Nothobranchius furzeri: one gene and its partners. Each later gene encodes a partner of the first gene's protein in a complex. Links are inferred from orthologs where the notes say so. Each region holds a gene or a part of one and is shown in the gene's direction. Other genes may lie near its edges. The genes, in order: ccna2, rbl1, cdkn1bb, samhd1, e2f1, rb1 and cdc6.

Region 1 (4,003 bases):
ATTTTGGATGAGTCTGCTAACCTTCTGGAGGAGTACAAGAAGCAGCCAGCCCACCTTGAAAGGCTTTACGGTAAAGCTGGAGTAAAAAGAACTAACTTTCACTGTTGATTAATTTTTGTTATTGTTGCTTTTTGATTTTCACTTTATAAAGTTTTGTGTGTATTTCTGTTTTCCTGCAGGAATGATCACTGACCTCTTCATCGACAAATTCAAATTCAAGGGCCAAAATGTGAAAACAAAAGTGTCCTCGTTGTTGGAGATACTTGATAATTACGAATTAAAGTCACTCTTAGACTTTTTCAATGAGCCATGATGCCATAATGGCCAAAGATGATCTATCTCTGTGACGGTTGTTGTGTTGCAATCTTTACATGACGATAGTTCATCTTTGAGACTGTGTTATTTTGTTAAATTTTATTTAGAAATAATTTACTCTCCCTTAAGAGTTGAGTAATAAATTACTTTTGATGTATTAAGGCGTACTGCAAATGGTTAGGAGAATACTGCAATACTCTTATTTTCATGCAAGAATTTGATGGAATTTGTTACAGTTATAGTATGTGTGTCAAATGCTACTCAATTTAATATCTAATCTTTCTGTATTAAACCAGTCCTTGTGCAGTAACTTGTCAGTAAAAAATAGCTAACACACCAATTGTTTTCAATTTTATTCCATATTATTTACATCTTAATGTAATGTACCTCATGCTACAACAGATTCGTCAAGAAACAAGTTGTTGCTGTATACTGGGTTAGGTACTTCCATGTGGATTTAAGTTTTATACACAAATTTATCTAATCAGCATAAGTGGTCATTCAACCTAATGTAAGAATAGGACACATGAAAAATAAAGCCAAACATAAAAATACAATAGTATTTAAACATTTTAAATTATAGTCTTATGAGTAATTTCTTAAACTAAACATATGTGCAAGTCTTTCAGTAAACAAGTATACTGGTGGACCTAGAAATGACCTCAAGCACGAGCCCTAGGTTAGGAAGACGTCTAAGTATGTTGAAGTGCTTCTAATGATATAAATATACATAATTGTTGCAGCAAAGATTTTTATTCCAAATGCGTTAACGTTGTTGTTACTCGCGTTTAACTTTGTATTTGGGATCTTTTTTTCAAACCGGTTTTAAATTTGCAATTAAAGTTTTTTGTCCCTCCTCGCCTCCTACACTTGTAATACGTCAGTTCCTTCGCGGTCTGTGATTGGTCGGTTTCAATCATCGCGGGCTACTTGAACTCTCTAAGTGTTTGCATGAAAATGCATCGACAATAGCTGCTGTCATTGTGCAGGTTTGTACCGGATACAAAACTTATAAATAGAATGGCAACTTAGTTTTTCCTTAGTTTTGCCAACCCGATGTCAAAGGTGCACGTTTGTTTTTATTTGCTTTGTTCTAGCGCTGCAGTTCCAAGTGCTGTTGCCATCTCAACAGTTTAGTTCTGATTCACGATTCAGTCTGCTGTGCAACAGCTAAAGCTCGCTTCGACATAACTGCTCACACGCCATCTTTTTTAGCCTTTTGATTTGTAAGCTTTCCTCTTTTTTTCGCTCTGTGAGGAAGCACACTACGGTTGACCACTGCTTTTTTATTTATTTGTTTTTTTGTTAAAAAAAGTGCGGAGAAGTGGATTCTCTCTTGGAGGGTGGAAACATGTCAGGAGCTAACAGGCAAGGAAATGCGGCTAGTGAGCTCCCCAACCATGAAAACATGCTTTCAAGGCTCAGAGGGTCGCTTAAACACCGAGCTGGTGAAAACCAAGAAAACCAGCCTCCCAAACAAGCCGCCAACAGAACCGTGCTGGGAGCCCTGCAGAACAACCATCGGAGCAAAGCCCAGAACCAGCGAGGCGCTAAACAGGTAACAGGCTAGCAACCTTGGCCTAAGCTAACACCTAGGCAGGCTCTGAAGGCAACTAAAATGGTTACATTTGGATGCAAGTACGTTAATTAGCTGCTTTAAGCGCCTTTTTAAAAATGAAGTAAAATGACATGTTATGTTGCTCTGTTAAGTTTCCCCTGCTTTCCGCCATTTTAATAACCTTATAGCCCTTGAGTTGCTTTGTTCTAAACACAAATGTGCTTCTGGAGAACCTCCCGTCTTCATTTACTGTATTTAAGTCAATTTACACAAGATTTTCTTTGCATTTACAAGTATCCTGTAACCGAGACTTAACACAGAGGTAAAATTAATTTAGCATAATCTGTAGACTTCTTTTATTTATTTTTTTACACACCTGCATGTTTTTCGTGTTCTAATAAAGGGCATACATTTTGGGTCCTTCCTAATACATTTTGCTATTGTAGAGTTAAACTAATTAATCACCAGCTGGTCTGAGAAGAGAAGTTTTTGAAATACTAATTTATTACCTTTTTAATGTAGTATTAATAGTTAATAATACTTTATAATATATTGCTTCCACTGAGCCTCACATTAACAGAAATGCAAAGAAATTTGCTATATTTGAATCACATTTTCCACAGAAGTTTCTAATTCACAAATCAAGTTTTGGCAGATGTCTGTACATTACAGATTTTTTTTTTTTTTTTTGTTCCAGGAAACATCACAGCCCTTGGCTTGCAAAAATGAAGATTTTAACAAAATCCTTGTTGAAAGACCTGTTAAGCAGCCAGCTTTCCAGATCCATGTGGATGAGCCTGACGTAGCCTGTGACAAAAAGCATGTGGCTGAAACAAACAAAGCGAAGCCCACAGTGGAGGAATCTCCTCTGGTTGTCAGTCATGCTGTGGCACGACTCCGACAGCCCCTGGCAGTGATCGAGGTTCCGGTTCCGTTAGCCATGGATGTCAGCTTTGGTGGGTTAATATTCAATTCAATTCAAAAATACTTTATTAATCCCAGAGGGAAATTGATTGCTGTAGTAGTTCAGTTCAGTTCACTTTATTTCAAACATATACATTCACCAACATTTCATAAAATCATTCCACGCAATTGTTTGAAAAGGAGTAGGGAGAAGTGTATACTTATTTAGCCCTACCCCTCAGGTTTACATCCTCATCAAAATTTAAACAACAAAACAGTTACAATGCCTTCAAAAAAAAAATAACAATAATAATAAATAAATAAAATTATCATGTTCAACTAGAACTACATTTAGATTTTCTAATTTGTAGAATAGATTAAACATCAGTTTGCATGCCGTCCTGGGTTAATTGCATTTTCTTCATTCTTATACTTATTTAACATTTCTTTTTTGAGTTTTATTTTAAACTGGTTTACATTACTACTATCCTTTATTTCTTCTGTTAACTCATTCCAGAATTTAACGCCCGCTATTGAAATAGACATCCTTTTCAATGTTGTCCTTACTCTTTGTACTTTTAAATTCCACTTCCCTCTAAAATTATACATAAAAATAACTCAGAATAATAATAATAATATATAATATTAATAATATTAATCAAGTCATCAAAGAGTTATTGTATATCACAATGGCTGTTGGCAGGAAGGATCTCCAGTAGCTGTCAGTGTTGCAGCAAAACTGAAGAAGCCTCTGACTGAAGACACTCTTCCATTGTCGGGCAGTCTTGTGAAGAGAATGCTCAGGGTTGTCCATCATTTTCTTGATTCTCTGGAGAATCCTTCTTTGCATTATCTCCTCCAGCGGTTCCGAAACTGCCGAAACTCTGGCTGAGTCCTTGAAAAGGCTTGGAGTTCCTCCATCCACATTGCCCATTATGATCGATGGAAGAGATGGTTTGAATTTCCTCTTTCTCTGTCTCCGTCCCGCTCTGCACCCACGCTTCTTGCGTTTTAGCTCATTTGGGATTTGTGGCTTCAGTTGAGGTATTATTTCAGTCTTTCCAATGTTAATCAGTTGCTCCCGATTGTAAACCAGACGGTTGCCATGGTTACGCATCACAACATGCTCAAAGTGAAAAAAGCTAAAAGTAGCAGTAAAAATCCTCCAAGCTTCACAGCACCAGAAACAGAAAAGTGTCCAAAAAATAGTTTTTCTTGAGAAACTAG
Region 2 (4,066 bases), on another chromosome or scaffold:
TCTACAGCATGATTAGACACACATTTATATAGTTTATCAGAAAAAAAGTTGATTTGGGGGTGACTTTCTCTTTAAACTAACTGTAATATTTAAACAATAAATCATTTGAAGTTAGAAATAAAATAGTTTAAAGCTGGTTTTAAGGGTGTGTTTAGTCTTGTAATAATCAAGTCTGGTAACTTTCTACGTATGTTGGGTTTAGCAGAATGCTACTTTAGACCATCGGTTAGAGGTTTGTTTTTATAATGAAGACTATCACAAATTTGGTGGTGTTGCTGTGAACATCCTTTATGCTGTTATTACACTATATTTTTAAAAAGATGTGGTTATGGGTTTGACTTTATTGTCTCTTAATTCATCAATAAACTGAATCTGAGCAAAAATGTTTTGAGTTTGTGTTCATTCATTCTTTTAAATGGACAATGTTCCATTTACTATAAAACAACCAAACATGTCTTATATAAATAATTATTTTACTTTAAATTAAGATAGCTTGTGTTATATTTATGGGTTTTTAGAGGTTTTGCAACCGGTGGATCTGGAGCCACATGATTCTAGAAATGCAAGTGGGGGCCAAACAAAAGCACTTCAAGAGCTACAAATAGCCCCCAACCTGCAAATTGGACATGGAGAGAAAAATAGATATGTTGTTGGTGTTTTTAACAAAGTTTTTTTAACAGTGTTTTGAGCATTGCTGTTTTTTTTTTATTAAACAGCTATTTCATTAACATTTTAGAGTATTAAAGACAATAATTCTTGGCAGGCTCTGCAGTCTGCATCGTTCTAAAAATTGTATTTTATAGGGTATACTACATAATATGTTAACTCATTCCCTTTGTAGACAACAATAGGAATAAGAACACTTAAAAGGTCACCTTGTAACATTCGTTTTATTCTAAGACTCAATCCGATTTTGTGGATTGTATTTTGTAAAAAAAAAATCACTTTTTTAAACCTTTGATTAGATGAGCAGGAATTCTATAATAACAGAACACTGCCCTCTGCACGTTAGTTAACGAATTGCTACCAAATTGTTATTGCATACTTCTTTTCTCGACTTCTCGGCATATTTTGTAATTTTACTTTTTAAAGTTAATTATTTCAGACAGCTGTAACTCCATAAAAAGGTGGTTTTAATTAGGAGCGACCTCCTGAAGGAGACCGAGAGGGGTAGGGCAAGAGGGCGAGAGGGCTTCGCATGTCTTGACTTTGATTGGTCAGAGCAGCAGGGTTTTCGCGCCAACGCACTGCATTGTGGGAACTGTAGGCGGAAGTGGGATGCTCGTGGAGCCTGTTTGTTGGTGTTTGGGAGAGGGCAGCGTTTTGCTGGTTAACGTCTGGCTCTGGGGGTTGTTTAAAACTTGATGCTGTAGCTGTACATTGGAACGAATGCGGGGTGACGAGTCGTCGGACTCCGAGTCGGGCAGGATGGAGGAAAGTTCAGTCCGAAGGAGTTTGGAGACATTGTGTCAGGAGCTGAACATGGACGAACAGACCGCTACTGAAGCTATGGACAACTTCACAGCCATATGGAACACATACACTCTGGAGGTGAATAATGTTCTTTAATAACAAGTTACTGTCGAATTAATCAGCCACAACTTTCATCCTACATAGAACTGGATTTCAGTGCTGACACACACTGAGATTAAAGGGATTCAACAACTGACCTGTTTTTAATCTTCCATCCAGGAACAGAAACATATTGTCGAGCAGTCGATCGACGGCATTTGCAAACGTCAGACAAAACCGGACAAAACAAAACAATTATTTTTAGTTTATGACTGACTGATTATTAACAAATATTAAAATCCTCCTGAAATTACATAAGAATAATAAAAAATAATCAAATTGAAATATTTTTTCCAGGTAAAATATATTTTACCGTAAAACAACTATGACTGTCTTTTATTTGTGGTAAAACCATGGGTAGAACATGGTAGTGACATCTGAGTGAATAATAAATCCGTTTTATTTAAATGGATCGGCTTTATTTAAGGTCTGACCAATAATAACAATGTTTAAGATTTCTTTAGTCTGATAACAAAGCAGCAGATGTTCTTTTTCAATTAATATCAGTTTTATTGTTCATACATACTATTGACATCTTAATTAAAAGCAGTTTCCTTTTAACATCGTATCAGAAATCACTATATAATCCTGATTTTTGTTGTTCACCCTGATTAGTATCAGAATTGTTTGTTTGTTTGTTTTTGCCTTTGAATCCGTGTGACAGGAACATAGACAACTGTAGTGCAGTCAGTTTGAAGCATCGTCTAAAATGACGGGACATCAACAAAAGTTGTGCAGTGTTTGTTAGAAGACTTCTGTCTGAGGGATGGGTGTAAACACTGATTATATCCTCAGGGGTCAAAGGTGATTCACGGAAAGAAACGTTCACACAGAGAGGTGTTACAAGGTTATTTTATTCAAAACGATTCTAATCCTAATCTAGGTACAGATTATGAAAGATTAGTTTGTACCTGACAATTTAACCTCCTACAGCTAATGATGCTAGTTGGCTTTGTTTACATCGTTACCTATTAATAATAATGCATTTTATTTAAAAGCGCCTTTCTGGTCACTCAAGGACACTGTACAGAATAAAAACACAAATCATTCAATAAGTAAACATACGTAAACATCAACAAACAAGGCTCTCTAAAATTCAAAGTTGATATGTGGTAATGAAGAGGTGGGTTTTGAGTTGTTTTTTGAATTCTGTGAATGAGTTAATGTTCTTGATGAGAGGGGGAAGGGAGTTCCAGAGTTTGGGAGTGGTGCCGCTGAAGGCTCTACTCCCCATGGTGCTGATACGGAAGGAGGGCACAGAGAGATGAATGGAGGAGGAGGACCTGAGGGAACGGGACGAGGTGACGATGTGAACGAGATCTGTGAGGTAGTGAGGGGCGAGGTTTTGGATGGCCTTGAAGGTGAGAAGGAGAATCTTGTAGTTAATCCTGGTGTGCACTGGTAGCCAATGGAGTTGTTTGAGGATGGGGGTGATGTGATGAGAGATGGGAGTTTTAGTGACGATGCGTGCTGCTGCGTTCTGGACCAACTGGAGCTTACGGAGGATTTTCTGAGGGAGGCCTGAGAGAAGAGAGTTGCAATAATCGATACGCGATGTAACCAGACTATGGACAAGAATAGAAGTAGAGTGGACATCAAGGGAGGGGCGAAGACGATTAATGTTACGAAGATGGAAATAAGCTGACCGTGTGATGCTATTGATATGAGATTGGAAGGATAGTGTGCTGTCTAGGATGACACCCAGACTCTTGACCTGGGGAGAGGGGGAAACTGAATTAACCTCAAATGATTCAGTTATGCTTTTAAACATAAGGCCTCTAACCAAACAGATGCTCCGTTTATCTTTGAGTTTATCTGTCATTCAGAAATGGTTGCTTCTCTGATTTATTAATGAAAAATATTTGTTTGAGAAATTGACCTTCAAAAATACTAATAGTCTGTCTGTATTATAAAAACATATCTCCAATAGATGATAAAATGCTAGTCGTTAAACTCTTCTGAATTATAAATAATTGGACCATTCAGCTGTCTCATTAATTAAAGATGGCAGAATTTTGCGTGCAAAAATCAAACATAGTAATTAAAATGTGCACATAGGTTTTCAGTCATGTTCCGTGTAGTTCTGTTTGCTGTTTCTGCAGCTATTCTTGTATCTGCTGAGTCGCTCTGTGTACTGGAAATAGTGGAGTATTAGTTTCCCAGTTTGCTGTTTATGCTGAGTGAAGACAATTAAAGTGATTTGCTGTTTGTCTGCAGGGGGATGTGGTCCACTGGCTGGCCTGCTCGCTGTACGCTGCCTGCAGGAAGGGGTCCATTCCCACTGTGGGAAAAGGGCTGATGGAGGGAAACTGTGTCTCGCTCACCAGGATCCTTCGCTGCTCCAAACTCAGGTTCAGCGCTATAAACACATGTTTTGTCTCTACGATCCTTATTCTGGTATCTCTGTGTTCTGGTTTGTTCTTAGGGGTTTCTAGAAAACAAATGCAGTTTTAAATAGGGATGCTCTTATCCGGTCCAAGCTAACGTGTCGCCT
Region 3 (3,844 bases), on another chromosome or scaffold:
TTTGGCAGTCAGTGAGAAGATTTTGATGGACTTTTACTTTATAAGTATTTGTTTTTATGGACATATAAATATGTAAATGCATAGCTGTGATGCTTATTTAAAAGTGTGGTATTAAAGTATTTGATAAGATTGGTTTCTTGCTGATTTTGTGCTGCAATAGTTTAGTCAAGTGAACACAAGATGGCGCTATTGTTTTAATGGCTGGCTGTAGCCGGCCTCATCTGCACCACTTATCCTGCTGTGACCCTTTTAAGTAAACATTTTTTCCAGTAAAAGTACATTGCATCATTTCTCACAAAACAGTTTAAACACTGCACTTTTATTTTGGAACATGAGGCCAAAATCAGCCTTACGTCTGGTGTTTTATTTTCTGTCAGTTTGTGTAAAAAGTAACAAAAGGAGAAAAAAGGTTTTCATGCAGTCATTGACAAAAAGAAACTACCTTAAATTATTTGTATTATATATATATAATGATGTAATTCTCTCTTTTGGGAGTGCATGCTGACTTTTATGTGAAATTGTGAATTTTTTCAGCTGCGATGTAAAAACCAATGCTCGACCCACGGCAGGTTTGATTTCTGCAGGTTCTTGGCTTATTAGTTTTGTTTTACACTCCGTTGTAGTGTGTCTTTGGCATACGTGTGTTGCTTTATGATGCTGGATTTTTTTTTTAAATTTGGTAAATATTTGGTTAATACTTATATTTAGAATAAATCAACTATTAAAAACAGAGTAATGCACACTGAAGATGTTTAGAAAAATAATGGTTTTGACTCCTTTGCAAATTACCTGTAAATTTAGTATTTTTTTTAGATGTGTAACTATAAAGCTTGTGTGATGTAGTCATTTACACAAAAATACGTTTTCTATTTTTAAGAAGCATACATAAATATTTATTTTAGTAAAACGTGATGGAAAAATATGAGCCGACTTCCCCACTCATACACGCCTACTGTCACTTTAAATAAAGTAGGTGGGGCCAGGTGTCGCTTAACCAATGAGCGTCCTTTGCCGGGTTTAAATAGCTCTGTGTGTCAATCATAAGCCCCTCCCCCTCCCGTCTCAGTCCCCACCACTGCTCTGCTCCTCAATCGCCATATTGGGTGCTGAGGTTTCTCTGCAGTTTCTCTCTGAGCGGAGCGAAACTGACAGCGTCCTCAGTTCCTGTGCACTTTGTTTTGATGATTCTCGGAGACCATCTTCGACTCCAGAGCCCCGCAGCAGTTAACGTCTTCCACTTCGACGTATGCATGGCATAGGTGTAGAGCTGCGTCGGATCTTTCCCCCGTGACCTGGAGATACCGCTGTTGTTGTTTTTTATTTGTATTTTTTTTTCAGCGACGTGTTTTTCTTATGACAGCTGGACGCTCCCGGCTGACTGAAAATAGCGTGTTTATTGGGGGGAGGGGAAATGTCTAATGTTCGAGTTTCAAACGGGAGTCCGACGTTGGAGCGGACGGAGGCCCGGGTGTCGGAGCACCCGAAGCCGTCTGCCTGCAGAAGTCTGTTCGGCCCGGTGGATCACGAAGAGTTAAAGAAGGATTTTAACGAACACATGCGGGAGTTCAAAGAGGCTGCCGCTGCCAAGTGGGGCTTCGACTTCGCCAGTGACACGCCACTGAGCAACGGCAGGTTCAAATGGGAACTAGTGGATTCCGAGGAGATGCCGGACTTCTACCACCGGCAGCCGCGGAGGGAGAAGGGCGTCTGCCCCAGGAGCACCAGTGTGGATCTAAACGGGAACCATAACTGCGTCCTGGTGGCGTCGAGCGGGGATACCAGCAAGCCCGACGGTCAAACGGAGTGCACCGGGCTGAGGAAGAGACCTGCTAGTCACGGTACTACATTTGCATCTAATCAGGTTTTAGAGCCGGAGCTCGGCTTTCACCCGACAGGAAGCACATCTATAACCCTCTTCTTGTGTTTTTGCTCCGAGTTTCCCTGACAGAATTTCTTTGCTGTTCGCAGAGCCTCCGACCCAAAACAAGAGGTCCCATACCAGCCCAGACGAGGTTAGCTGTCCGAACCTGAGCCACTCAGTAGAACACACACCCAGAAAGCCCAGTCCCAAGAGACAGACGTGAGCCCGAGAGAAAACGGTGAGGCTTAAACTCATCCGTATACAATAACCGCATGTAGCTTCTGTTCCTCAGCTGTGATCTGAGCCACAGCAGGTTATATAACACGTTCTCTCCACATATTATCGAGTAGCTTTAACGGTGCTGCACGCTTATTTTATCTTCAGTAAGTAAAATGCTGGACTCTAGTAACCATTTCAACATTTTATATTCATTTAATCACAATGAGATCAACTCTGCCGAGAGAAAAAGGCTTTAACGTCTCACTGCTGCAGCTTTTCTACTAAACTGTAAACAAGGGCTGAACAACAGTGTAGTAGTAACACGTCAGCAGCCACTGCCCTCGGAGCAGAGCAGAGAAGGGGCTGGTCTCTGAACACACACACGCACGCACGCACACACACACACACGCACGCACGCTGTCCCTGCAGGCAGAGGAGTGTGCTGAGGAGACCCGCAGGTCCGAATTCAAGTAAAGGGAGGAGGGATGGGCACGATGAGATCTTCCTCACAGTGGTTTAGGACCTGTTTAGGCTGCAGATGAGAACACTTACATCAATGTTTCTTTTTAGCACAGAAATTTGAACAATAACCGGGTGTGATTCAATATGAGGATGTTTTTCTGTTCAAAAGTAAATCCTTGAAAGATTTTATTATAAAATATGATGAAAGAACTGCACTAAAAGACAAAATAGCTGTTAGTTTCATAAGTGTGTGTGTGTGTGTGTGTGTGTGTGTGTGTGTAACAGGTCAGTTTAGCTTAACCTTGTTAGTCTTTTTAAAAATAGGAAACTGATAGGGGGTGCACACTTGAAATAAACAGTCTAGTTATGAAAAATAATTAAAGTGAAACTTTTTCCATGAATTGTTAAAAGATGATTTTTCAAAAATGTTAATACTAACCTTTTTTTTTTCTTATTTTTCCCACCTTCTCCACACAGTTCGAGCATTTTTTTTTTTGCGAGGGTGTTGTTTTTTATATGCATCTTTTATTTTATTTTTTTGGAGGCCTGACTGTTTGTTGGCTTTTTGGGGATGAGGATCTGCGCAGCATCAGAAACATATCGGCTCTTCTGAGGACTGAGGAGGACGCTGTTGAAGCACTGAATAGAAACACTAAAGTTGTGGCACTCAATTAAAAATAAGTTACTGCCTCTAACAGCAGTCGATGTAGCAGTGTGCAATTAGGTTTTATTTCCCTTTTTTGCTCGTTTTGTTACTACCTGTGTGTAAATAAATTAATAAAGATGGATATATATATATATAGGTATAAATATGTCTCCATGTGTAGCACATAAGGAACTTAATTCTAAATCCAATCCTTTTTGTAAAAAGTTGTGAATTTTCATTTGACTTGAAGAATTGCAGTGATGGTTTCCAAAATGCTGTTTTTTATTTTTATTTCCAGACTGTGTGACATTTGCCACTGTCCTTAATTGCTACACTTAAAAAGAAAAAATCATGGCTTCTCACCGTTTCTGTAGTGTTCCTTCACTCCGTCAGCTTCCTAATGCAGCAGTGAAGAATGGTACAAATGTAGCTCACGTATCGTAATTTAATTTGTTTTTTCATTTATTACAGCGCCTCCCTGCAAAGGGCTGGACTCGTCTAAACGACGAGGAGATGTAAAAATTCTGTTAAGATTTTCTGATATTTATTTTTTAATCGAGGTGCTTTTAGCATCAGAGTCCTGGAATATTATGAAACAATTTTTTTGAAGTTTTTCTGTGCGCCTCAGCTACGTTTTAATGTTCGAGTGTTTCCTT
Region 4 (3,500 bases), on another chromosome or scaffold:
CAAAGGAGGTTTCATCAAAATTGTTTGATGTCTTCCAAGTTTAGACCCGCCTAGTGGCAGTTTGTTACTTCAACATATGTGGCGAGATAGTAAACTGTGTTTCTGTTTAGTGGCCGTACAAAGGACGTCCTGAAGACAAGTCCTTCCTGTATGAGGTTGTTGCCAACAAAAGGAACGGCATCGATGTGGACAAGTGGGACTATTTTGCCAGGTTGGGCTCACGTTTAGATTTCTTTCTAATTTCAAAATTTGTGGGGTTTTTTAAATTTTATTTCATAACTCCTCTTTTCCCCCTGGACATATCTCAGGGACTGCCACCAGCTGGGTATCCAGAACAACTTTGACTATCGGCGCTTCCTTAAATTTGCCAGGGTGTGTGTGGACAAGGGACAGAAGCAGATCTGCACTAGAGATAAGGTGATGGTTTAGTCTTATTCTTTTTTTTTCCTGTGGATGCACCAGTGCCGATACCAAATGCATGTACCTGTACTCGTAAAACTGCTCCCATGCTACGCCACCAATACCAGCATGCTAAGAGCTTTGTTTCCCTTAAACAAACAGCATTAATCTGTGTACAAAAGCACTAATCCAATAAGTGGAGGTAATGCACCAGAAAATAAATAAAAACCAATTAAAAATGAGAAAAAGCTGTAGACAGTAGCTTGCTCATCAAACCATTTAACGGCAGCGCGACTTAAAGCAGCTGAGTAGCAGAGGAGGAGCTATGTCAGCGGTGTGGAGGCATTTCCAGGTGAACAAAGGTGACAAAAAGACAGTAAATTATGTTCATATTTCAGTAACAAGTAATCCAACGCTGTCTGTTTTCATCCTCATCCAGGTTGTGTGATAACAGTTTTAATGTCACTATTTTCAAACTAGTAATCAGATTAAAGTTACTATATGTTCTTATTTCAGTCATTTTCCTCAGCAAAAAGATACATTTGATTTCTTGTTTTGGTGAGCAGCATCGCGTTTTAAACATAAGCCGAACTCTGATAACACCCTGCAGCACAGACCTAAACAGAGGAGGAGAGAATCGCCTTTTCTTTAAATAAAAAGTATCTTTCTCAGGAAGTAGTTTCTAAGTTAAACCTAAAATGTCAGGAGACACATTGCTGACGAGGCTGTTAGTTAGAAGATTTGGTTTTTCAATGTAACTGAGTTGTTTTATGTTGGTAAAATACAATCAGAGGGTGGCTTTTCACCAGTAAAGTAGACCTAAAGTTTATTTATGTTGTAGTGTGTCAAATGAAAGTAAACATTTAACAGGTTGAAGTTTTTAGGAGTGGAACTACATTTACTCATATCTTTTGGACTTTCGTTCACTCTGCTCCTTCTTCATGAAACAGGTTGCAGGAAAACTGGAAATAAACCGAGCTTATTTCCTTAAATCAGATTGCACTCGAGACACACCCCCTGTGTTGCAGCTGCTTTCTATGAAGTATACAATTTTAACTGAGCAACTGAGACATTTTCTAACTGTATTTTTGCTGCTTCTTCTCCACGACCATCCTTGAATCTCAACAGTGGGACTTGTTAAATAAAGAATAAATAAATATAAAATATCAGTACATGGTATTAGTGAGTACTCAAATTTAAGTATCAGTACTCGGTTAAAAGAAGAAACCCTGCTATCACTACTTTTTTATTTTTACATAGAAATTTTATCTGTTTCATGTGACAGGAAGTGGGAAATCTGTATGACATGTTTCACACCAGAAACTGTCTGCACAGAAGAGCCTACCAGCACAAAGTGGGCAACATCATAGAGGTCATGTAAGTTCCCCATCATCCTGCAGGTCCCTGTAGTTCAGGATTTACTGTTGTGTGTTTTATGCAGAGCTGTTTACAGAAGCACTGATGTGTTAAACCTGTTTCTGCAGGGTCACGGAGGCCTTTTTAAAAGCAGATCCACACATTCAGATTGAAGGTTCGAATGGGAAGATGTTTACCATCTCCACAGCTGTAGAAGACATGGTGGCCTACACCAAGCTGACTGGTCAGTAAATGCATCATATTAGAAGAACGTATCTTTAAAGCTGCACTAGAAATAGGAGCCAGTATGTGCTAAAATGACCCTTTACAGGGTTAATGAAAAGCCACCCAGACCCCACTGCCCTCTGTGGCCAGAATACCACACTTGCAACTTCAGAGTGCCAGGCTGCCACCTAAAATTCAGCTGACATACCTGGCACTGCATTCTGCTTCCAGCACATTTCCTGCATGTTTTAGATCATGAACACAGCTGATGTGTTGGATTTAGTGATGAATCGCTCCTGTAGACACTAATGAAGGCTGAGGAAACATTTCAGCTGTTAGATTAAGGTGTTAAAAAGACAAACGCACAGCTAGGAGATGAGTTTCACTTTTGCTTTGAACACAGTTAATTAACTCATTTGCTGCCAGCCGTTTCCTGATCCGTCAAGCCCTTCGCTGCCAGTTTCTCGCCATTTTTACTTTTTTTTTTTAAGAGTCTCAGAACGTTGCACCCTAGGATGATGTCAACGCCAAAACAACCAAAACAAAGAGGAAACTCACCTCTTACATTAGGAAGAATCCACGCATTTCGAGCGTTATCCGTTCTTTCATAATTCGTTGTTGAATTGTGATTGGCAGAAGCTTTTCCGGTTCGCGCCTTTTTTTACAGCAGCGGCCCAAAACGATCTCCTAACACATGGATGTTCTGCTTCCTGATCACGTGACGTGTGACGTATGCGGATGAAGATTGACTTTAGAGCTGAGACGTTTGTTCTCACAGTGCAGGGGCTCATTCCGATGCCTACACAGTAAAAAAAAATGCAAATGACGACTTTAGTCGTCATTGGCAGTGAATGAGTTAAGAATGGGCACTAGGGGGGTACCAAAAGCAAGCAGAACTGCTTAGTATCCCATTAATTCTCCAGTGAAGTAGTGCACTTGTGGCAGGTATTTATTTGAAACTTTGTTTTACTTTGATCACTGATGTCTTTGTGATTTTCCCTGTTTGCCTTTTAGATAATATATTTGAACAGATATTGAACTCTTCCAATCCGGAGCTCACGGAGGCGAGGAAGATCCTGCGAGATATCTTGTGCAGGAACCTCTACAAGTATCTGGGCCAAACTCAGCCAAACGAGCCCTTAATCGTCACCCAGGTTTGTGTTTGTCTTCTCATAACAATTCAACACATTTGGTTTATTTGACCGGGTGGGTTCAGTTTGGGAAGTGATCTATGTGTGGTAAGGAAGAAGGGTTAATTGATTAACATATGTAGCATTGTTGAGTTAAACTTGAAAGTGGTGGTTCTGTCTCTGAGTTTTGTTTGACTTTTATGTGTAATGATTATTTACCTGTAGTATCTCAGAATGTTTGCAGTTTCTAAATGTTGTTGGGTAGTTAAGGTTATAAAATTATTTATAAGGTGTTGATTGAATCAGTAAATTTCTGTAGTTACAGATGCATCACTTTGTGTTTGTTTGTTTTTCCTGTTTGGTGCTGTAATTGTCTAATGTTGACTCTGG
Region 5 (4,256 bases), on another chromosome or scaffold:
CATTTACCATTTCAGCCAGTAGGAAGCAGAAGCAGGAACGTGTTGCTTTAATATCGATTTCCTCTGCTACAAAGACGACATCCAGTTCTACCTTTCCATGCTCCCCTCTGATTTTCTTCCTCATGAAATGGGCATCATCGACCCGTTTCTACTCTTCAATCATTTTTAAAAGCTCATCTTTTAAAAAATCCATTTTGTGTCCAGCTGCATTTTTGTCCCTGCTTTTATTACGTTTTTTTTACCTTTGCTATTTCCCCTTTTTCTTTTATTAAAAAGGAACCTCGAATTGTATTATTATTATTATTATTATTATTATTATTAAAGTGGTTGTTGTCATTATTTTTATTTTAACCAACAGCCAAATGCACCTTGCCCTAAATAAATTATAAAAGAAAGCAATGACAGCCTAACTTATATGCTAGTGCGTCCTACTGCTTACCCATAGACTGAATAGTGGGCGTGGTTGACACATTTTGATTATTTGGGTCAGGAACTCCAGACTGGCCATCAAGCAGAGACTGAACAGCCAACACAGTCTGGTTGTCCATGCCTAGAGAGAGTGAAACAACAGAGGGGGGAGGAAACAATGCACGTGTTTACATTTAAAAGCTCTGCTTGATAATCTAGTAGCACAATAATAATCAACTACCTATTAAACATACGTAGTGTAATTAATCACCGTTATTGTTTACATGTACATACCAACCTAGCAGGGTGGTTTGATTTTTGTAACATTAGTAAACACCTATGCATAGTTTCACAATTATTTCCACATTTTAAAATGGCTCTAAACATGTTTATCTATAAAAAATATTTTCTGACATGTAAACATGTTGGTAGCTATGTAGTTAACAAAAATATTGCTACCTTCAAGCACCTCGAATATTGCCTGCGCCATCTTGCAGATTTCTGAGAGATAGGCGCTCGATTAGCAAGGGCTGCTACCTAAAGGACATTTCTATTCTGTAAATTCGACGAGATTTTTACGAATAATTCGTGTTTGAAAAAATATACTGTTCAATAGAGAGCTGCATAAACTGTTTATAATATGATGTGGACATTCCTGACAGTCTTAAAACAAAATAGCTAAAACATCAAATGTTTTAAATAGCATGCAAAATAAAATACAAGTCACGTAAGGACTTTAATTTGTAAGTTCGGTCACGGCTTTTCAATAACTAATATATGTTATTAAATGTTTAATATGTGACATCAGATCAATGTATCATTGATATGTTGATTTTGATCTAAGCGAAATGATTGTAAACGCTAGTTAGTTGAGGTTCTTCCGTGGAACCTGAACGCATCTTCATATCGACTAGTCTGTGCTCGTCTACATGACGGACACTCATTTACACCAATCAGAAAGCTCCGGTTTCTCTTCGAAGAATGTGCATCTTTTTGGCCAATGGCGAGCGTCAGATTTCCCCACGTGCAACTTTCGCGGCAAAATGGATTTCGCGCGAAAACCGACCAACGCTTGTTTAGATGTAGATCAGCTGGGACAATAACAACAATAACGGCTGATATCGGGCTCGGGTGGACACTTTCATGAGAGAACCGCAGCCCTGGTGAGCAGCTGAAAGTGCATCGGCGGCGGTTTTAAAGCATGCGTTTGTACTTTGACCGTTTTGTTTCGTTTTTTTAATTCCAGTTTTGTCTGACTGCTTCCTGCAGTGCCCCAACAAAACGAGGGGACTGAAGAACTGCGGCTAATGACTAAAGCTAACATGCTAATCTGCCCTACATTTCCACACTCAACATAGTAACTGTTATAAGGTCTTTGTTAGCCAGACGTTTTCATAAATACCCAATCAATGATGCTTTTGAGTCACGGCGATGCCGTTCGACTTCTCTGTATTTTGCTTTGTTAGCTAACTTTGAAAAGCTGATTTAAAGTTTCCGTAGCTTAACCGTTGTCCCAGTTTCGGATGTTTGGTGATTGTGGTAGTTTTACGGCTGGGAACGGCTCGTTCCGCGCCTCCTTCGAGAACTATTCCGAGGCTTTGTTGTTGAGCCATGAGTTAGCCTGCTAGCCGTGTCGGTAGCTGTGTGTTCAGGCCGCGGCCGAACTCTGCTGACAGGAGGCACGAAAACAAAAGATTTGCTCGCTCCGTCGCTGGCGTCCTTATGTTTAGCGTTTATTCAGACCCGCGGCAGGGTCTCGCGACCCTGTTTTAGGTGCTAATCCCGCGTTAGACCCTCATGGCGTAGAGATATTGTGCAATTTAGCAATGATCTGTCATTTTCCTGTTTGGCAGAACATCCAGTTTCTCCGTTCGGTCTGAAGTTGATTTGGCAAGTTCTGTTTATTTATCACTCTTTGAGTTAAACTGTAATAAATGTTTGTCTGTGAGGAAAACAACTTGTTCCAATTTGGGACGTTTGAGCATTTTTTACTCCTGCTCCACGAATTTACAGAGAACTACAAATGTCAGCAGGTGCTGATGTGCTTTTAGAGTACACCATCTTAGCCTGTGACCCCTCCCAGCACACCCAAAGACTAGTGAAGGAGCACTTGGTGACCCAGTGCAATGTCAGAGACTCTGATAACAGGGCAGACATCGGAGGATCTGTTGGTTGACTTTGAGACCTTGCTGAACTCTGGGAGTATAAAACTGGGCGAGGACCATCAGGTAGTCATCATCACCAGCCCCAGCAATGAGGGACTCCACCCTGTTGCAGCCCCGACCAGCACGGGGGAAATCCTGCTGTTCGCCACGCCACAGGGGCCCGCTGACGTGGGGGCCCAGGACAAGAGGCGGCCAGCTCTGGGAAGACCTCCGGTGAGGAGAGTGGGAGTGAGATGAGGTTAAATGAGAAGTTTCATGTCATATTTTGCTTTTTAAGCATTTTCTTCAAGGTGCAACAATAATTTTACTGTGAAATAATCCCATAACAGTCTAACATCTGAGTGGTATTGGAAGAACGGTTACGTTAAAAACAGATTTCCTTCTCAGCCGGCTATGGGGTCGTCAGGTTTCCTAGTTTAACTTAAAAACCAAAGAGGAAGGTAGTCTTTGTTTACAATCTGTCCCAATTCAGTACTTCCTGGTTCCAGAGCCAATCATACGTGCCCGCAGGTTTGCCAAGTCTGCACCGACATTTGTAATTTGACATCGGCCGGCATGATGCTGCGGCGTTGTGGAACAAAATGGAAGTCAGTAAAAAGAGCGACGTTATTTCATGTAACCCCGAAGAAGCCACGGCCTCTTTTTGTTGTGTTCTTAATGCAGAGGCTAACATTGAGCTAACAATGCTAACGGTGGATTACAAGCAAACTTCGATACTACAGCAAAATATATTTATCTACTCGTCAAATTACCGCGTATGACTCGTCTTTGCTCATCATCTAGAATCTTCTGGTGCCGTGCCGTAACTGGCAACAGTGGCTCAGAACAGACTCGTTTGTTTTGATTCACGGACTGCAGTACCCAGATTTGACCACAGGATGTCGTTCTGACTCCGTGCATCTTTAGGTAACACACAAATATAACGTATTCCATGCTTCCATCTTCAGGTAAAGAGGAAGTTGGACCTGGATAGTGACCATCAGTACATCAGCACCACCCAACCTCCCACGGGTCAAGCTCCGCCTTCTACGCCTGCTCCTCCCAGAGGTATGCACCCACAAACGCACTTTTGAGTTTTAGTATAGTGGATTTTTCAAATTTAAGGAACTGTGCTTTTCTTTAGAATGAAAGTAAAGTACAGCGACGACGAGCCTTAAAGGGACTTTACGGACTTGTGAATTTTTATGCTCATGATTGCCCCCTCAGGCCAAAAACGTAACAGCAGCTTTAATAGTAGGCTCGTGCACGAGGCGCGCATGCTGTACGTGCACACTCCTTAACGAAAGTAACAGCTGAGACAGTCCCGTGTGTGTGTGTGTGTGTGTGTGTGTGTGTGTGTGTGTGTGTAGCCCGGAGGACAGAGGACAGGAGAACGCGCAGCTAATTAATTAAATAATTTGGTTCTGTACCTTTCTCTTCAGCACAGCCGACAAAGGTTTAAGATGGGTCAGTCCTCCTGCATGCTCAGATCATTCCCTTCCCTTGCTTGAAAAATTGTTCCAAAATGAAACGTTTTTGGTTTTCTGTGACTTCAAATGCCGTTCGGCGAGTCTCAAATAAAAATTTGGGCATCTTACTGTAAAAAATATACCATTAATGTAAAAAGTAAACTCTAATTATACTATGTTCACATCCAGAATCAAACCCAGATCTTCTGCACGAGAGTCAGACGTCTTACTAGGT
Region 6 (3,500 bases), on another chromosome or scaffold:
TATCAGTATTCCTTTACAGAAGACATGATATCTGTCCCTCGGGTGGAAGAGCCGAGCTCTTTTTCTCAGTTCTGTGATCTGTCAGGTGGTTCCTCCTCCCTCGTTCTCTCGTATGTTCCCGCAGCGTCCCCTGTGAGCTCATTGTAGCTCTCTGCTCCTCCTTTACTGTAACTCAGACGTCCCACTGCTGCACGTGTGAGGCTCAGAGAACTCTGTGGCTCAGGGAGGAGTCTGCACAGGGGTCAAAGTCCTCCTTCAGATGATTTGTTTAAAATAAAAATTAAATTTAAATATTTCTGTTGACAAGCAAATGCAGCTGCACTAGAAACACAAATCAGCTGTTGACAAGCAAATGCAGCTGCACTAGAAACACAAATCAGCTGTTGACAAGTAAATGCAGCTGCACTAGAAACACAAATCAGCTGTTGACAAAACTCTTAAGATAATGAGTTACCAAACCTAGTATGTCACGCTACCCACTAGAGCCACAGATTTTGTTTTCGAAACATCGGTGACGTCAGCGGGGTGCAGCATGCGAGTATGACACAAAGAATGTTCCAAACATGTCTGAACACAGTCACATGTGTATTGTGAAGTCACTTTTTTATCATAGGGTAATAAGCCTCCAGGATCCCCCTCCCCAGAGGTGTTGATCTGAGTTGTGTGCTTGTTTATTGTCACACGCTCCCTAAACCGTCAGGATGTTCCAGCTCCATCAGATTCAGTTTAGCAGGTTTTCAGATCTAATCAAGCTTGACGCTGGATGTTCCTGTATCTGTGTCACATACTTGGCGTGTCCTTGTGGCAATATTCAGTGAGGAACAGTTGTGTTGTCAGACCAGAGACGTGTAATATGGACTATTTTTGCGAGGGAAATTTTGTGTAAAGTTCACGTATAACCACTTCCTTTTCACACTTGGGTTGGGGTTGGCGATCAGATCATCAGGCTGCTTGTGTAGGCTGCGGATTAAAGAAAAATAGATATGAAGACTGAGCTCAGATGTAATGATGATGAAACAATGCACACATTTGTACAGGTTTTGTGTGTTTTGTGGTTTGGTTTAAGTGACGATGTGAAAACCTCTCCGGTGTGTTTTTATTCCTCACAGTTTTAATAAATCGTAGGATTAAAGTAAATCTGTGCGTGTGTTTGTGTTGTCAGGGATCCCCGCTGTTTGAGCTCCTGAAACAGGAACGTGGGAGTGGAGCAGAGGAGCAGGTGGAGACTCCCGGCAGTTTCAGCCAGCCGCTGCAGCACAACCACACCGCTGCAGACCTGTAAGTTACTTTACAACCAGTCGGGGAAATAAGATCTCATCTCAGACCCTAAAACCCTTTTTTTTTTTGGGTTAAATTTGTGAAACCGTTGTGCCTCACCGAACTCCATGACTCACTCGCAGTTTCCTGCTGCGCATCAGTGTTTGGGTTTTTCCTGGGATGGAAATGTCACTTATCAGTGTTGAAAGGTTATCTAACATGTTCCACTGGTTGCACTGACGCATGAGCAGATATCTGTCACCGATGCGAGCCGGCCAGTGGGTTTCGCCTCCTGAGTCCCCCGTGAAGCCCGTGTGCAAGTCTGCCCCCGTGGCTTCCTCCAACCCCGCCTCTCAAGCTCCTGGTCAAGTTCCACGACATTCCAAGTCCAACTCCCTAAGCCTCTTCTATAAAAAATGTAAGTAAATTTTAGTTACTGATCTGAGGGCTCAGGGGTTGTCTTGTATTTAGTAAGAAATATTTGTTGAGATGAGCAGTAAAACAAGAGTTGATTTGCTATAAAAATATTTTTAGAATTTCACAAACTCAAATCATTTTTTGCAGAAATGTTATTTTTCTCCTTCGTTTGCATGAACCCAACTGCTCGTTTAACAGCCTTCCTCTCTGAACTCAAAGAAATGAGGTTGAATGTTAACGCTGTAGTTTACACGTGTTTTCTCTGCCCCTTCCTCTGTAGTGTACTGCCTGGCGTACACCAGACTAAAGACGCTCTGCTCCTACTTGTTGTCCTCTCACCCTGAACTGGAGCCCATCATCTGGACCTTGTTCCAGCACACTCTGCAGCATGAGTACGAGCTGATGAGAGACCATCACCTGGACCAGGTGCTTCAACACCAGCATGACTTTAATCCTCCCGTCTCCACCTCTTGTTTCTTTTTACTATTAAATCACCTGCTTGTCCTTTTGCAGTTGATGATGTCAGCCATGTATGCCATATGCAAAGTGAAGAGTGTCGATCTGCGCTTCAAGTCCATCGTGTCGGCGTACAAGAACCTGCCCAACACCAACCAAGAGGTGGTGCAGCTTCATCCGTAGAAGTGAACTTCCTGTTAATTCACCACTTATTAAACCTGCTGTGCTCTGCAGACATTTAAACACGTCTTGATCACTGAAGGCCAGTACGACTCCATCATCGTCTTTTACAACCAGGTGTTCATGCAGAAGCTAAAAACCAACATCCTGCAGTATGCATCTACCAGGGTAAGTCCACAGGGAAGCTTGGATCCATTTATGACCAGTAAAGCTTACTGCTTTAATACCGATATTTTTTTCCAGCCGCCCCCCCTCTCTCCAATCCCACAAATACCACGCAGTCCCTATAAGTTCCCCAACTCGCCTCTGCGTGTTCCTGGGAGCAACAACGTTTACATTTCTCCCATGAAGAGCTCTCGCGTGTCCCCGGGTATTATTACACCTCGCTCCAGGTCGGTGCTTCATTTTTGTGATTTGAATTTTATTCATTTCAAATGTTTGAAGTATTTTAAAACATCTTATGGTGTTGTTCGTGCCCTTTGCAGAATGCTGGTATCAATCGGGGAATCGTTTGGGGTAGATGGTCACCCTCACAGAATGCTGCAACTCCTTTTTTCCTCTCTCACACTTGACTTATTCATTAATCCTGTTATGTCCTCATCTGCAGCTGTCCAATCGCTTCCAGAAGATCAACCAGATGGTCAGCAGCGATCGCTCCCACAAGAGGACCCTGGATCTGGGATCTACTCCAAAACCTCTGAAGAGGCTCCGCTTCGACATCGACGGGCAAGACGAAACTGACGGCAGGTCGGTTATCACAGCCATGATTTAGTAACTGCGCCTCAAACATGTTTGCTTTTATTTTGGACATAAAGAAAAGTAACTGTGGTATATTAAACAGCTGACTGACGAGTTAGGAGGATTTAAAGTGTCTTTACTGCAATTTACAGCAAACCTGGAGAAGACTCAACTCTGATACAGAAGCTGACAGAGATGAGTGAGTGTGTTTATATTCCTGTTGTTGCCGTTGAAAAGGGTTGGTATTGATCCAGTGGGATTGTTGTGTGCAGGCTCCACTCGGAGTCGCATGCAGGAGCAGAAGCTGAAGGAAGACGCCGAATCCAGGAAGGAGTCACTTTAAAACCAACATGCGCCGATGGCCACGTTGTTCACTACTGTTTAAGTTTGTATTTAATTTTACTCTGATGTCAGAGGGCATGTTCCTCTTTTTGTGTTTTTACTAAATGAGG
Region 7 (2,863 bases), on another chromosome or scaffold:
ACCGAGTGCATGCCGAACCGTAGAGAGATCTGAATGGATCGCGGGTCAATGATGATCCATTGGTTGCACCCCTAGGGCGCGGCCACGATGTACTTAAACGCCTGGACACAGGGGGAGGTGAACGCCGGTATAAATGACAGACAAAGCTTGGGCACCACCCGGGCTGTAAGTCATCAATTATTTACCGCCCAACGAGAAAATTTACCGCCAATGGCGCTCGGCAGTTTACGTTTCCACACCTGATATGACAAGGAGGAAGCAACCAGATGATGAGTAAGAAGATGCCTAGAACCGAGCCTTGGAGAACTCCTGCAATAACCAGGGATGAACTAGAAGAGTGGAACTGAAGTTGAATGTACTGAGTATGGTCATGTTATGCTCTCGTTACTTATTACTCTTCCCAAACTGAATTTGCTACTTGGGGGCTTTAACTTGTTCAAAAGCTCATAAATTTAGCATGTGTCAGTTGTGGAGTATTTTAAGGATTAGCTCAAAATAGAGGAACAGCGCCCCTAGCAAGGCCCTAGTAAATGAAGATTTAGCCTCAAGCCACGAGTCACATCGAAACTTTAGAATGATTAAAAGTCTTTGACCCTTTGCTTTCAGGAGAGCCGTGGAGATGGCCGAGGCTGAGGGCAAGAGAAGGCCAGCAAACCTTAACGGAGAAACAAAGTGTGAGTTTCCTGGGAAAGCTTGGCTCTTGGGAAATGTGGAGAGGAAACTGACTCAAGTGTGCTGTCTTCTGCAGCGGTGGGTCGGGTCGGACTCCCGCAGGTGGTGCGGATTCTGTCAGAAGTGTATGGTGACCGGATGACGTCTCAGAGCGGAGAGTCTGAGGGAGAGAGTTTCCCTCTGCAGCAGAAGCTGCTGGTCTGCTGCCTCCTGCTCCTCACCAGCAAAGGAAAGGGCAAAGAAACCCATCTGGGGAAGGTGAGCCTGATCCAACGAATGTTTAGGCAAGGCAGCTTTATTTCTAGAGCACCTTCCAAACACAGGCAGTTCAATGTGCTTTACAATTATCAGGACATGACATAAAAACACAAACTAAAACACACACAGATAGAATTACAGTCTAGAGCTAAAGGAGAAGACAGTTACATCACAGATTACAGTGGAGACGATGCATGGTAAGAAACGATTCATGTAAAGGCTGATGAGTACATGAGGGTTTTTAGGGTTAAACAACACTAGGGCTGGGGCAGGTCTGAGGTCATGGGGAAGCTGATTCCATATGTGAGCAGCATAGTAACTAAATGCATCTCCACCATGTTTGGTTCTGACCCGAGGTTCTACCAGCTGATTGTTTCCAAGGATCTCAGAGCCCTGTTGGGTGTTTATATACAGGAATGAGATCGGACATATTTTCTGGTCCCATGCCATTGAGTTATTTATAAACTAGTAGGAGCACTTTGTAGTCTATTCTGTAGTTTACTGGTAACCAGTGTAGGGATCTAAGAACAGGAGTGATGTGCTCCGTTCTCTTAGTTCTTGTTAAGACTCTAGCAGCAGCGTTCTGAACAAGACATCACCTCGGCACCAGAGGAATTCAGAGGTTTTTGTGTTTCAGCTCTATGAGGTGTACAGCCGTGTGTGTGGTCAGAGACACGTGCCAGCAGTCGGGCAGGGCGAGTGTCTGACGCTCTGCAGCCTGCTGGAGAGTCGGGGAATCTTTGCCCTCAAGAAGGCCAAAGAGGCTCGTCTCACTAAGGTACAAACCTGACAGCTGGTCGGAGAGGACACACACACACACACACACACACACACACACACACACACACACACACACACACACACACACACACACACACACACACACACACACACACACACACACACACACACACACACACACACACACACACACACACACACACACACACACACACACACACACACACACACACACACACACACACACACACACACACACACACACACACACACACACACACACACACACACACACACACACACACACACACACACACACACACACACACACACACACACACACACACACACACACACACACACACACACACACACACACACACACACACACACACACACGTGTCAGCTGTTTGAGCAGAACTTGTTTGCTGTTGCAGGTGTTTCTGAAGATTGAAGAGAAGGATGTTGAGAATGCTCTAAAGGACCGAACGCTGCTGGGCAGCATCCTCTCTGCTGGACTAACCTCATGATGTCTTCTGTTAGATTTTTTTCTGTCAGTTTGGATCTTTACTTTTTTATTCTCTGAAGCAGAAGCACTGTTCTACTGGATCGCTGTGCTGTGAAGAGATGGTGTGTTTTCAGATTTTTGAAAGTCTCTTTTGATGCTGTAAATAAACATTCACTGACACACATCCTTTCTTTACATTTATCGGGGGGGGGGGGGGGGGGGGGGGGGTCTCTCAGAACAGAGCCAGGTCACCCCATCAAGGTGAATCAACCTCTGGAACTCGTACTATTTTTAGGAGTGCCTTGACTCAGCCCCCTCACCAGAAAACTGGAGCACTGCAAACACTTACCTCCTCCATAATATAAACCTAAAATGTTGGTGAGAGGTGTGTTATCAGAGGAAAAATGGTGTTGTCTCTGGTCTTAAACTACTCAAGTTGTTTTTCTACCTTCCCAGTTTGTTAAATGTCTGACTGGACAAGAAGTACGCCACCAAGTTGCCTTGTATTTCAATCATCCACACTTGATTTACCCATAATGCATTAGGGGAAATTCTGTCTCCTGCAGGACCTCGTCACAAATCTGATCAGGTCTTAGACAATGCACAACTTTTATTCTTTTCTCTCCTGCAAAGTCTTCTCCCAGCACCAGCAAATTATTATTGAAGATCTTCACCTGTTACCCT

Evidence for each region.
Region 2: the proteins of ccna2 (region 1) and rbl1 are in contact, whole or in part, in a crystal structure (PDB 1H28), measured with the Homo sapiens proteins. The link is inferred for Nothobranchius furzeri from reciprocal best matches to the Homo sapiens genes CCNA2 and RBL1. Residues at the interface, in NP_001228.2 of Homo sapiens: Met210, Ile213, Leu214, Asp216, Trp217, Glu220, Glu224, Arg250, Gly251, Lys252, Leu253, Gln254, Tyr280, Ile281, Thr282, Asp283, Thr285, Tyr286; in NP_002886.2 of Homo sapiens: Gly654, Ser655, Ala656, Lys657, Arg658, Arg659, Leu660, Phe661, Gly662, Glu663.
Region 3: the proteins of ccna2 (region 1) and cdkn1bb are in contact, whole or in part, in a crystal structure (PDB 1JSU), measured with the Homo sapiens proteins. The link is inferred for Nothobranchius furzeri from reciprocal best matches to the Homo sapiens genes CCNA2 and CDKN1B. Residues at the interface, in NP_001228.2 of Homo sapiens: Met210, Ile213, Leu214, Asp216, Trp217, Glu220, Val221, Glu224, Met246, Arg250, Gly251, Lys252, Leu253, Gln254, Leu255, Tyr280, Ile281, Thr282, Asp283, Thr285, Tyr286, Thr287, Gln290, Arg293, Met294, His296, Leu297, Lys300; in NP_004055.1 of Homo sapiens: Lys25, Pro26, Ser27, Ala28, Cys29, Arg30, Asn31, Leu32, Phe33, Gly34, Val36, His38, Leu41, Thr42, Asp44, Leu45, Glu46, His48, Cys49, Asp51.
Region 4: the proteins of ccna2 (region 1) and samhd1 are in contact, whole or in part, in a cryo-EM structure (PDB 9HIW), measured with the Homo sapiens proteins. The link is inferred for Nothobranchius furzeri from reciprocal best matches to the Homo sapiens genes CCNA2 and SAMHD1. Residues at the interface, in NP_001228.2 of Homo sapiens: Met210, Ile213, Leu214, Trp217, Glu220, Val221, Glu224, Arg250, Leu253, Gln254, Tyr280, Ile281, Thr282, Asp283, Asp284, Thr285; in NP_056289.2 of Homo sapiens: Lys615, Ser616, Arg617, Val618, Gln619, Leu620, Phe621, Lys622.
Region 5: the proteins of ccna2 (region 1) and e2f1 are in contact, whole or in part, in a crystal structure (PDB 1H24), measured with the Homo sapiens proteins. The link is inferred for Nothobranchius furzeri from reciprocal best matches to the Homo sapiens genes CCNA2 and E2F1. Residues at the interface, in NP_001228.2 of Homo sapiens: Met210, Ile213, Leu214, Trp217, Glu220, Val221, Glu224, Arg250, Gln254, Tyr280, Ile281, Thr282, Asp283, Thr285; in NP_005216.1 of Homo sapiens: Val88, Lys89, Arg90, Arg91, Leu92, Asp93, Leu94, Glu95.
Region 6: the proteins of ccna2 (region 1) and rb1 are in contact, whole or in part, in a crystal structure (PDB 1H25), measured with the Homo sapiens proteins. The link is inferred for Nothobranchius furzeri from reciprocal best matches to the Homo sapiens genes CCNA2 and RB1. Residues at the interface, in NP_001228.2 of Homo sapiens: Met210, Ile213, Leu214, Trp217, Glu220, Glu224, Arg250, Leu253, Gln254, Tyr280, Ile281, Thr282, Asp283, Thr285; in NP_000312.2 of Homo sapiens: Pro869, Lys870, Pro871, Leu872, Lys873, Lys874, Leu875, Phe877, Asp878.
Region 7: the proteins of ccna2 (region 1) and cdc6 are in contact, whole or in part, in a crystal structure (PDB 2CCH), measured with the Homo sapiens proteins. The link is inferred for Nothobranchius furzeri from reciprocal best matches to the Homo sapiens genes CCNA2 and CDC6. Residues at the interface, in NP_001228.2 of Homo sapiens: Met210, Ile213, Leu214, Trp217, Glu220, Val221, Glu224, Tyr225, Arg250, Leu253, Gln254, Glu277, Tyr280, Ile281, Thr282, Asp283, Thr285; in NP_001245.1 of Homo sapiens: His89, Thr90, Leu91, Lys92, Gly93, Arg94, Arg95, Leu96, Val97, Phe98, Asp99, Asn100.

The regions. Positions count from the first base shown.
Region 1 is NC_091741.1:74,293,420-74,297,422, forward strand, and holds the start of ccna2 (cyclin-A2), read left to right. Parts: upstream 1-1,203; 5' UTR 1,204-1,304; exon of another isoform or gene 1,305-1,630; 5' UTR 1,631-1,666; coding exon 1,667-1,873; intron 1,874-2,570; coding exon 2,571-2,829; intron 2,830-4,003. Other genes in the region: bbs7 (Bardet-Biedl syndrome 7 protein), read left to right, coding at 1-70, 180-313. UniProt on the Homo sapiens protein: Cyclin which controls both the G1/S and the G2/M transition phases of the cell cycle. Functions through the formation of specific serine/threonine protein kinase holoenzyme complexes with the cyclin-dependent protein kinases CDK1 or CDK2.
Region 2 is NC_091743.1:73,535,670-73,539,735, reverse strand, and holds the start of rbl1 (retinoblastoma-like protein 1), read left to right. Parts: upstream 1-1,266; 5' UTR 1,267-1,389; coding exon 1,390-1,551; intron 1,552-3,789; coding exon 3,790-3,923; intron 3,924-4,066. UniProt on the Homo sapiens protein: Key regulator of entry into cell division. Directly involved in heterochromatin formation by maintaining overall chromatin structure and, in particular, that of constitutive heterochromatin by stabilizing histone methylation.
Region 3 is NC_091744.1:57,772,252-57,776,095, forward strand, and holds cdkn1bb (cyclin dependent kinase inhibitor 1Bb), read left to right. Parts: upstream 1-1,145; 5' UTR 1,146-1,411; coding exon 1,412-1,838; intron 1,839-1,968; coding exon 1,969-2,084; 3' UTR 2,085-2,099; intron 2,100-3,019; 3' UTR 3,020-3,344; downstream 3,345-3,844. UniProt on the Homo sapiens protein: Important regulator of cell cycle progression. Inhibits the kinase activity of CDK2 bound to cyclin A, but has little inhibitory activity on CDK2 bound to SPDYA. Involved in G1 arrest. Potent inhibitor of cyclin E- and cyclin A-CDK2 complexes.
Region 4 is NC_091755.1:60,840,837-60,844,336, reverse strand, and holds part of samhd1 (deoxynucleoside triphosphate triphosphohydrolase SAMHD1), read left to right. Parts: intron 1-110; coding exon 111-211; intron 212-308; coding exon 309-417; intron 418-1,684; coding exon 1,685-1,776; intron 1,777-1,883; coding exon 1,884-1,999; intron 2,000-2,994; coding exon 2,995-3,134; intron 3,135-3,500.
Region 5 is NC_091755.1:51,396,350-51,400,605, forward strand, and holds the start of e2f1 (transcription factor E2F1), read left to right. Parts: upstream 1-1,456; 5' UTR 1,457-1,571; intron 1,572-1,654; 5' UTR 1,655-2,534; coding exon 2,535-2,786; intron 2,787-3,520; coding exon 3,521-3,620; intron 3,621-4,256. Other genes in the region: znf341 (zinc finger protein 341), read right to left, coding at 440-550, 868-898. UniProt on the Homo sapiens protein: Transcription activator that binds DNA cooperatively with DP proteins through the E2 recognition site, 5'-TTTC[CG]CGC-3' found in the promoter region of a number of genes whose products are involved in cell cycle regulation or in DNA replication.
Region 6 is NC_091750.1:48,268,348-48,271,847, reverse strand, and holds part of rb1 (retinoblastoma-associated protein), read left to right. Parts: exon of another isoform or gene 1-27; intron 28-1,162; coding exon 1,163-1,278; intron 1,279-1,508; coding exon 1,509-1,675; intron 1,676-1,954; coding exon 1,955-2,100; intron 2,101-2,187; coding exon 2,188-2,292; intron 2,293-2,364; coding exon 2,365-2,478; intron 2,479-2,553; coding exon 2,554-2,702; intron 2,703-2,795; coding exon 2,796-2,826; intron 2,827-2,917; coding exon 2,918-3,057; intron 3,058-3,200; coding exon 3,201-3,247; intron 3,248-3,320; coding exon 3,321-3,391; 3' UTR 3,392-3,500. UniProt on the Homo sapiens protein: Tumor suppressor that is a key regulator of the G1/S transition of the cell cycle. The hypophosphorylated form binds transcription regulators of the E2F family, preventing transcription of E2F-responsive genes.
Region 7 is NC_091747.1:65,956,138-65,959,000, reverse strand, and holds the end of cdc6 (cell division control protein 6 homolog), read left to right. Parts: intron 1-606; coding exon 607-674; intron 675-748; coding exon 749-930; intron 931-1,567; coding exon 1,568-1,708; intron 1,709-2,108; coding exon 2,109-2,201; 3' UTR 2,202-2,363; downstream 2,364-2,863. UniProt on the Homo sapiens protein: Involved in the initiation of DNA replication. Also participates in checkpoint controls that ensure DNA replication is completed before mitosis is initiated.